Rhinolophus ferrumequinum: one gene and its partner. The protein of the gene in region 1 interacts with the protein of each later gene in a pairwise test. Links are inferred from orthologs where the notes say so. Each region holds a gene or a part of one and is shown in the gene's direction. Other genes may lie near its edges.

Region 1 (3,914 bases):
GTGACCACGGGAAATTCTTCATATTTTTTTTTCTAAAGATTTTATTGGGGAAGGGGAACAGGACTTCATTGGGGAACAGTGTGTACTTCCAGGACTTTTTTCCAAGTCAAGTTGTTGTCCTTTCAGTCTTAGTTGTGGAGGGCACAGCTCAGCTCCAGGTCCAGTTGCCGTTTTCTAGTTGCAGGGGGCGCAGCCCACCATCCCTTGCAGGACTCGAGGAGTTGAACTGAGGAGTTGAACCGGCAACCTTGTGGTTGAGAGCCCACTGGCCCATGTGGGAATCGAACTGCCTGCCTTCGAGTTAGGAGCATGGAGCTCCAACCGCCTGAGCCACCGGGCTGGCCCCTTCTTCATATTTTTTAACAAGGGGCCCCACATTTTCATTTTGCACTGAACTGCACCAATTAAGTTGCCAGTCTGTTGCTCCCTGCACCCCTCTTGCAGTTTGTGGCCTCCAAAGCTTTGTCTGTACAGTCTCCTCCACCCGGAACACCCCTCCACACATTACCCCTCTTCCTGCAGCTCTTCCTTTAAGACTCAATTTACATGTTATGCTGTGATGCCTCTTTTGACCCTCCTCCCTCCCCTTCCCTTCCTAATCACCCAGCACGCAGGAGGTGCTCAATACTTGTCTGTTAGATAAACGGAATGACAAGTGCCACAAGAAACCCACAAACTACGAGAGACGGTAGAGCAAGATAAAGCGGGAAGAGGGCATTTCTAATGGCCTCCAGGTTCACACAGATAGGCGCTAGTACCCTGCCAGCAAACGCGCTAATCCGTGCGCTGAAAGCCCCGCGCGGCTGGAATCGGCTCTCCGGCGCCGCCTGCCTCGATCGTGCCGCCGCTGCAGCCCTTTCCTGGCGCCCCGCCCCTCGCCGGCCCTGAGCCCGCCTCACATCTCCCATTGGCTGTCTGCTGTTCTCCCGCCCCTCCCGGGCTCAGCCATTCGGAGCCCGGGGGTGGTGGGGCTTGAGGCCAGGGGTGGAGCGCGCGGCCTGATTGGCTCTGAGGAAAGCAGCTACGTGGCCGGAGGAGGCCGGTTTGTACCTAAACTGAGGCTCCGCCACGCTAGTGCTGGATTGGTAGTAGGCGGGGCGGGCCTGGGTCGTCGGCCGGAAAAAGGAAGTAGAGGAAAGATGCAGGTGGGGGAATAGGAGCTGGGGAAATGGGGGGCTGGTCCGGGACCCCTGGATTGGGTTCAGCCCGTCCTCCCCTGATCCACTTCCTCGGCCTCCCTCCCGGGCAGGCGCAGCCCTCCCCGACTCGTCGTTCTGGCCCCGCGGGGTGGCGGTTGTGCGGGTGAAATGAGCGCGCGAGTGGCACGCCCCCTCCCCGCGTTCACTCCCCGATTTCTGTCGTGTTTCCCGCCAGGACCATCAGCACGTGCCCATCGACATCCAGACCAGCAAGCTGATCGGTAGGAAGGGGCGCTCCCGCGCCGCCTTGCTGTCAGGGGGAGGCCCGGCCCTTTGCCCTCTGTCACCAACAGCTGGGAGCCCTGATGCCCCAAGGCCTCTGTTGAGGAGCGGGAAGGAACTATACATGGAATCTGTACTTCACCCGCGTTTTCTTCTTTAACATTTATAACGTGTTGTCAGATCATATTCATTTAGAGAAGGTTATAATAGCTTACCTTAAAAACGATCATCTACTGAGTGGCAGATCTGAAATTATTCTCTAATGTCTATGCTTTTTGTATTATGCCAGAAAAGAACTCTCCCTCCTTTCTTTTTAAAAGCTTCCATCTCTTCTTGACTTTAGTAGGAGAAAAAGGGACACAGACCCAGTTAGAAATAAAGACCATTAAGTAGCCCGGCCATCTCCCTGCTGTTTGATCTACATACCTCCTCCCCAGTTCAGGGCCAGGAAAGGACTTCTTCATTCTGACCCCTTTGGGGCAAGTACACAGCTCCTGAGTTTTAAAGTGCTCATTGTATTAATCGACTTGATGCCAGTTTTGTCGTTAAGATGACATCTGTTAGACTACCTCATCCCTTTGCTTCTAGTTCCATGACAGCCACAGAATTTTTCTTTCTGAACACTTTAAAGGAATACAGCAGAGGGAGTATAATGATAACTGGTGTGGGACCCCAGTGTTTGACCAGTTGGCAGATTTATTAACAAGGGCAAGGTTCTGAATTCACTATTGTGGGCCATTTAGTTAGTCCTGTGCAGTGGCTACTCAGTGGAGCTTCTTTAGCTTCATTTCAGATTTGTCTCAGCTCTTCAGCACATATGCATTCTTGGTATATTAGCTTGTCATTGGTCATGAAAGGGACCAATAAAACAATAACTATTCATTGAGGGTTTGCTCTATATCAGGTGCTGTTTTAGGCACTTGATGTTATAAAAATAAAGATTACTAAGATTTATTGAGTCCTTGCCATGTTCCATGCGCAGTGCTGTGTTTTACCTGCATTCCCTCTTGTACTCAGTATCTTACTACCCCCATTTTACATTTGGGGCACATGAGAGCCTTGCCCAAGAAAGTTGATAATTAGAAACCAGGACCATTTGACCACAAAACCTAGCTCTTATCTCTCTCCTACTGAGGAAACATGCACGGCCCTCAGTTACCTACACCCTCTGCAAAAAACAAATCTGGGCCCAGACTCCAGGAAGTCAGTCACATTGGTGTTCACGTGTGCAGGGTCGTACTTCACTGGTAAGAATAGACCAGTATTATCTAGTCCTTAGGGTGCTGTAGGTATTAGAGGCTTTGCAGTTGTTCATTCATCCAGTACTTGGCATACCATCTTGTATTTTCCATTGTCGTGGTTAATCCCAGCCCTGAGGAAGTGGAAGTAGAACAGCATCCTCTGTCAGTAAGAAAGATATAATTACCCATGGAAGCAAAAAGATTATGGAGAATTCAGAGCGGTCAAAAGTGGTGCTTTGATGTCAAGGCCAGTTTAAAATTTTTCTTTATCTCTGTGTAGAGGCAATTGCTCTGCTAAGTAGGTTGTCAGAGTCTGTTTAGCCCCAAGCATCCTTTTGGACCTGTCTTTATTCCCAGCTTCCCACGACCCCCACACCTTAACCAATCTGAGTACATATTTCAGCCAATGTCTTAGCGTATTTTACTTGAATTAGTAATGGAATTTTGGCCATATGAATGGGAACGCTGTGATTTGGGTGTTTCTCACACAGACTGGCTGGTGGACAGAAGGCATTGTAACCTGAAATGGCAGAGTCTGGTGTTGACGATTCGCGAGAAGATCAATGCTGCCATCCAGGACATGCCCGAAAGTGAAGAGATCGCCCAGCTGCTCTCTGGATCCTGTGAGTGCTCTGGGGCTGCCTTCCTGGAGCCCCTTCTTTCCTGGAGCAATATATGTCAGCTGAGCTGCTCCCCTGTTGTTTAGCCACAAGGCTGATCCCTAGAGAAAGATTTTTGTTTGGGGTATATATAAATGCTGGTTTCTTCCAACACAGACTGATGAAGGGAAGAGCTATGCCTGCTAACACTATTAGCCTATACATGGGTTAGTCATGTGCGTTGGCCAGAGTAAGTGGGGAAAATACTGGAATTCTCAGTTTTTGCTCTCACTTGCTTTCCAGATATTCACTACTTCCATTGCCTAAGAATTGTGGACCTTCTCAAGGGCACTGAAGCTTCTACAAAAAATATTTTTGGCCGGTATTCTTCACAGCGAATGAAGGCAAGTGTGGGCGAGGGTGGTGACAGGATCAGAGCCTCTGTGAGCTCTCTGAGGGACGCCCACATGGAATGTTTCCCGAACTTTCTCTCTGTCCCATAGTTTATTCCAAAAGTACCTCCTCTCCTGGGTTTACATTTCAGACATGCTGCTTTGGGGATCTCTCATTGGCGCCACACTCTTAAAATCAAGTGGGTGGTCCAGCCCACCTCACGAAGGAGGATGAGGAGTTTGCTTTTGATGTGATGCAAA
Region 2 (3,914 bases), on another chromosome or scaffold:
TAGCTGGACGAGGTAAGCACTACTTCCCTCACTAGAAATCTCAATATACCTGCTGCTTTTCTCTAAATCCTTTTCCCCTAAGTCCTTTCCTCTTCCTGAATCCTCTTCTGAGCCCTTATTTGAAAGGGATCACAATCTGGGGTGCTCTGTATTGGAGTTTACATTACAGAGTTACAATCATAATAATTTTCTAGTATAAACTTAAGACATTAAACAAAAATAAGCAAACTTAGTTTTCCTTCCTTCCTGCATTTTTTAAAAGGATAAACACCAGTATTTTCACACTCCAACAAGCTAACAAAACAGCAGATAGTACTGACATCACTGTCTAATGAACTGTATGAGCTAACTGACTTGAATAGACAGGAACTTTTTCTTATTTTTTAAGTAAATATTTTGATATTAAAGTAATCTTAATTAAGACAATAGCTTCAGGGCTTATCACAGGAGCAAATTTTGGCAAATATTTGCTGGTGTCATGCCCACGGGCATTATGAAGCAGGAACGTTTTTAAGATGAAGATTATAACCTGAGGATAAGCAACATATAAAAGGCATAACTTTAGAAATTAAAACCCCCTGAGATTACATTTCTTCCTATAATGCTTAAAGACTAAATTTGCACACTTGCTCCTGTGTGTCACCTCTTAGTAGGGAAAATACATTTTTCCTCTTACATTAGTTAAAAGTGAAGAGGGAATATTGTCCAGTTGCTTTGTAGGTGTTTGCCAAAGTATATAAACTTTAAAATCTGTAAGAAAAATTGAAATGGTCTTTTATTATATATCTTGTTAGGATGAGACAAGTTTCCCTTTCAGTTGCTCCTGATTTTTAAATGATCGCACTTGACACAGCAATACTTCACTTTTCTTAAAAACCAAACTCTGTTCATCTCAATTTTTGGTAATAGCCATGAATCTGTACATTAAAGGAGGAAGGCCTGTGAATTGCTGAATTCACTTTACTGTACATGAGAAGCCCACTGAGCTGAGTTTAAATAAACAAGTAACCTTTCTCACCTTTTAAGCAAATATTTTAACAATAGCTTAGGTGCCTTAGAAATTCAGTCTTAGAAATCCACATTAACACAAAGCAGACCAAACATGCTTGAGTTTGGTCTGCATCCAAGTATACAAACCAAGCCTGTTGCAGACTGACAAAATTCAAAACATTTCGTAACACAAAGACAAAGGAATACTCTTGACTGAGGAGCTTAATCACAAGGCGCAGTTCTCGCCCGATATTAAGGCTCTGCTGTCCTGACGTCACCGGTTGCCATGGCAGCATCCTCCCAGGGAGGAAAAGAAGGGTGGTGCGAGGGGCGGAGCACGGCTTCTACAGAGGACAAGGATCGCTCTCTCATCCTGCAGGTCTGACTTCTACCAAAATGAGCGGCAAGGATGGGGACCACACCGTTCCTGTCGCTAAAACCTGCGGCCTTGCTGCTCCTGAGCATGCTCCAGGACATCCGGACCTGAACCAGCGTCAGAGCGAGGAAACCGAGGCGACACAGGTGATGGCGGACACAGGTGAGGGCAGTTTGGAGACTGCCGCGGAGGGAGGCGCATCTCGGGCCCACTGGGGCTGTGGCCCTGTGCTCCGCATTCGAGTTGCTGCGAGTCGCAGCCGTGCAACGGCTACAATGGGCCAGAAAGAGGCTCCGCCACCCACGGAGGGCCTGGACGCAGCCTCTGCCTCCGCCTCGGTGGCTACAGACAATAGTCCGGAAAATGGCTGTCAGCCTAGAGAGCCGAGCGGCTCTGCTGGAGAGAAAGCTCTAGAAGCCTGTGGCGCAGGGCATTTAGGGTCTCTGATGCTGCTGTCTGGGGCAAAGGCCAAGGAATTGACGTCAAAAAAGTGCGCCATCTCAGCGACAGCAGAAAAGGAGGGAGTAGCAGAAGTGGGGGTGGAAGAAAAGGTGATTCAGAAGGAGAAAAAGGCGGTAGGAGGAATGAAAGAGGAGACACGCGCCAGGGGCCCGAAGATCAATAACTGCATGGACTCGCTAGAGGCCATCGATCAGGAGCTGTCAAACGTCAATGCCCAGGCCGACAGGGCCTTCCTTCAACTGGAGCGCAAGTTTGGCCGGATGCGAAGGCTCCATATGCAGCGCAGAAGTTTCATTATCCAGAATATCCCAGGTTTCTGGGTCACTGCTTTTCGGAACCATCCCCAGCTGTCACCTATGATCAGTGGCCAAGATGAAGACATGATGAGGTACATGATCAACTTGGAAGTTGAGGAGCTTAAACACCCTAGAGCAGGCTGCAAATTCAGGTTCATCTTTCAGAGCAACCCCTACTTCCGAAATGAGGGGCTCGTCAAGGAATATGAGCGCAGATCCTCTGGCCGGGTGGTGTCTCTTTCCACTCCAATCCGCTGGCACCGGGGCCAAGACCCCCAGGCCCATATCCACAGGAACCGGGAAGGGAACACCATCCCCAGTTTCTTCAACTGGTTCTCAGACCACAGCCTCCTTGAATTCGACAGGATTGCTGAGATTATCAAAGCAGAACTGTGGCCCAACCCCCTACAGTATTACCTGATGGGTGAAGGGCCCCGCAGAGGAATTCGAGACCCAGCAAGGCAGCCAGTGGAGAGCCCCAGGTCCTTCAGGTTCCAGTCTGGCTAACTCCTGATCTGTGAGAAGCTCCTGCACAAGTCTCCTTACCACCTCCTCTTGGATTCTGTGCTTAGCCAACAGCATGCAATTTTCCATCTGCTTTCTCTTCACACTGGATTGTTTTGTTCTTTGGTTCTTCTAAATCTTCAATCAGTGTCAAGATTGTTGCTTACATGCCTATGCTCCTTTTCCTCTGGGCTTTGGTGCTGTTCTGCAAAGTGTTCCGTGTTCCAAGTGCATGGTCTCCCACTGCTTCTCTGCCAAGCACATGCCATAGATATGCACTGACTTCCTTTGCATGCCTTGGGCGTTCTCTGTGACTATGGTCTTTTCCCAGTTTTTTGAGTGTTTACCACAAGGAAGCTTAATATATATCTTTGCAAATAACTACCTGGGCTTCATAACGATGCTGGCTCTGTTCCTCATACCCTGTACTCTATGGTGAGCTCTCTGAGTGTCACCACTGTAAGATGAAGCTGATACAGATGATGCCAGCCATCAACCCAAACTGGACATTCCAAGCTATCACTAACTGGTTCCCAGCTGCTTTCCTGAGCCTGTGCCATCCAGCCTGCTGGTTATTTGACAGAATAAGCAGGTGGCTGATGGGTGGCTACTAGGCATGAATGAGGTAACAGATGTGTTCTGTTATCATGTTGATCTCCTTAATGCCCTTGGTCACTCTACATCGTGACCAGGTACTGGTGAGTATGAAAGCCTGTGCTGTGGCCCACCCAAACCTATTCTCAGCTTTTTGGATGAGCTTTGCACAGTCACCATGGCCTCCCTCCTCAGGAACTATCGTTGGACTTAAGCCCCCAGGCAGCGCACAGGAACTACTCCCTTCCCAAATGATTACCGAGAAACCCAATTGACTGTTGGGATGGTTGGGCAGTCACTTGTGACAGTGCCTAAAGCAAGGCTGGAATGGGGGTCCCTTCCAACAGTTAGCCTTTCTGAGTCCTAGACAATAAACCACCCAGGAGCACCGAGGAAGATGTATTTTTGGTCTGTCTTCCTCTCCCTCCTTCCCCAGTCTCCTTGCCTTTGTTTCCCCCTCCCTCCTCCCCCTGCCCTGCTTCCTTCCTCTCATAAGCAGTTACTGCTCAGAAACAGACAAAAGGTGGGACAGCAGTGCTGTCAGGGCTGTCTCATGGAGGGGTTTGGTGGTAGTGATGACATCCACCCTTCTTTCTCCTTTAGTTTTGAAGGCATTGCCGTAAGTTCCCCGAGGGCTTGGGAGGTCTAGATACAAAGCAGTGGGGAGGGTACTCTAGCTGGAGAAACTGAAA

The links.
Region 2: the proteins of CDK5RAP3 (region 1) and TSPYL4 interact in binary tests that used the Homo sapiens proteins (3 or more experiments, as listed by UniProt). The two-hybrid records come from large-scale screens. The link is inferred for Rhinolophus ferrumequinum from reciprocal best matches to the Homo sapiens genes CDK5RAP3 and TSPYL4.

The regions. Positions count from the first base shown.
Region 1 is NC_046304.1:35,002,478-35,006,391, reverse strand, and holds the start of CDK5RAP3 (CDK5 regulatory subunit-associated protein 3), read left to right. Parts: upstream 1-1,006; 5' UTR 1,007-1,139; coding exon 1,140-1,145; intron 1,146-1,374; coding exon 1,375-1,420; intron 1,421-3,153; coding exon 3,154-3,285; intron 3,286-3,564; coding exon 3,565-3,665; intron 3,666-3,914. UniProt on the Homo sapiens protein: Substrate adapter of E3 ligase complexes mediating ufmylation, the covalent attachment of the ubiquitin-like modifier UFM1 to substrate proteins, and which is involved in various processes, such as ribosome recycling and reticulophagy (also called ER-phagy).
Region 2 is NC_046286.1:67,183,807-67,187,720, reverse strand, and holds the start of TSPYL4 (testis-specific Y-encoded-like protein 4), read left to right. Parts: upstream 1-1,296; 5' UTR 1,297-1,386; coding exon 1,387-2,631; 3' UTR 2,632-3,914.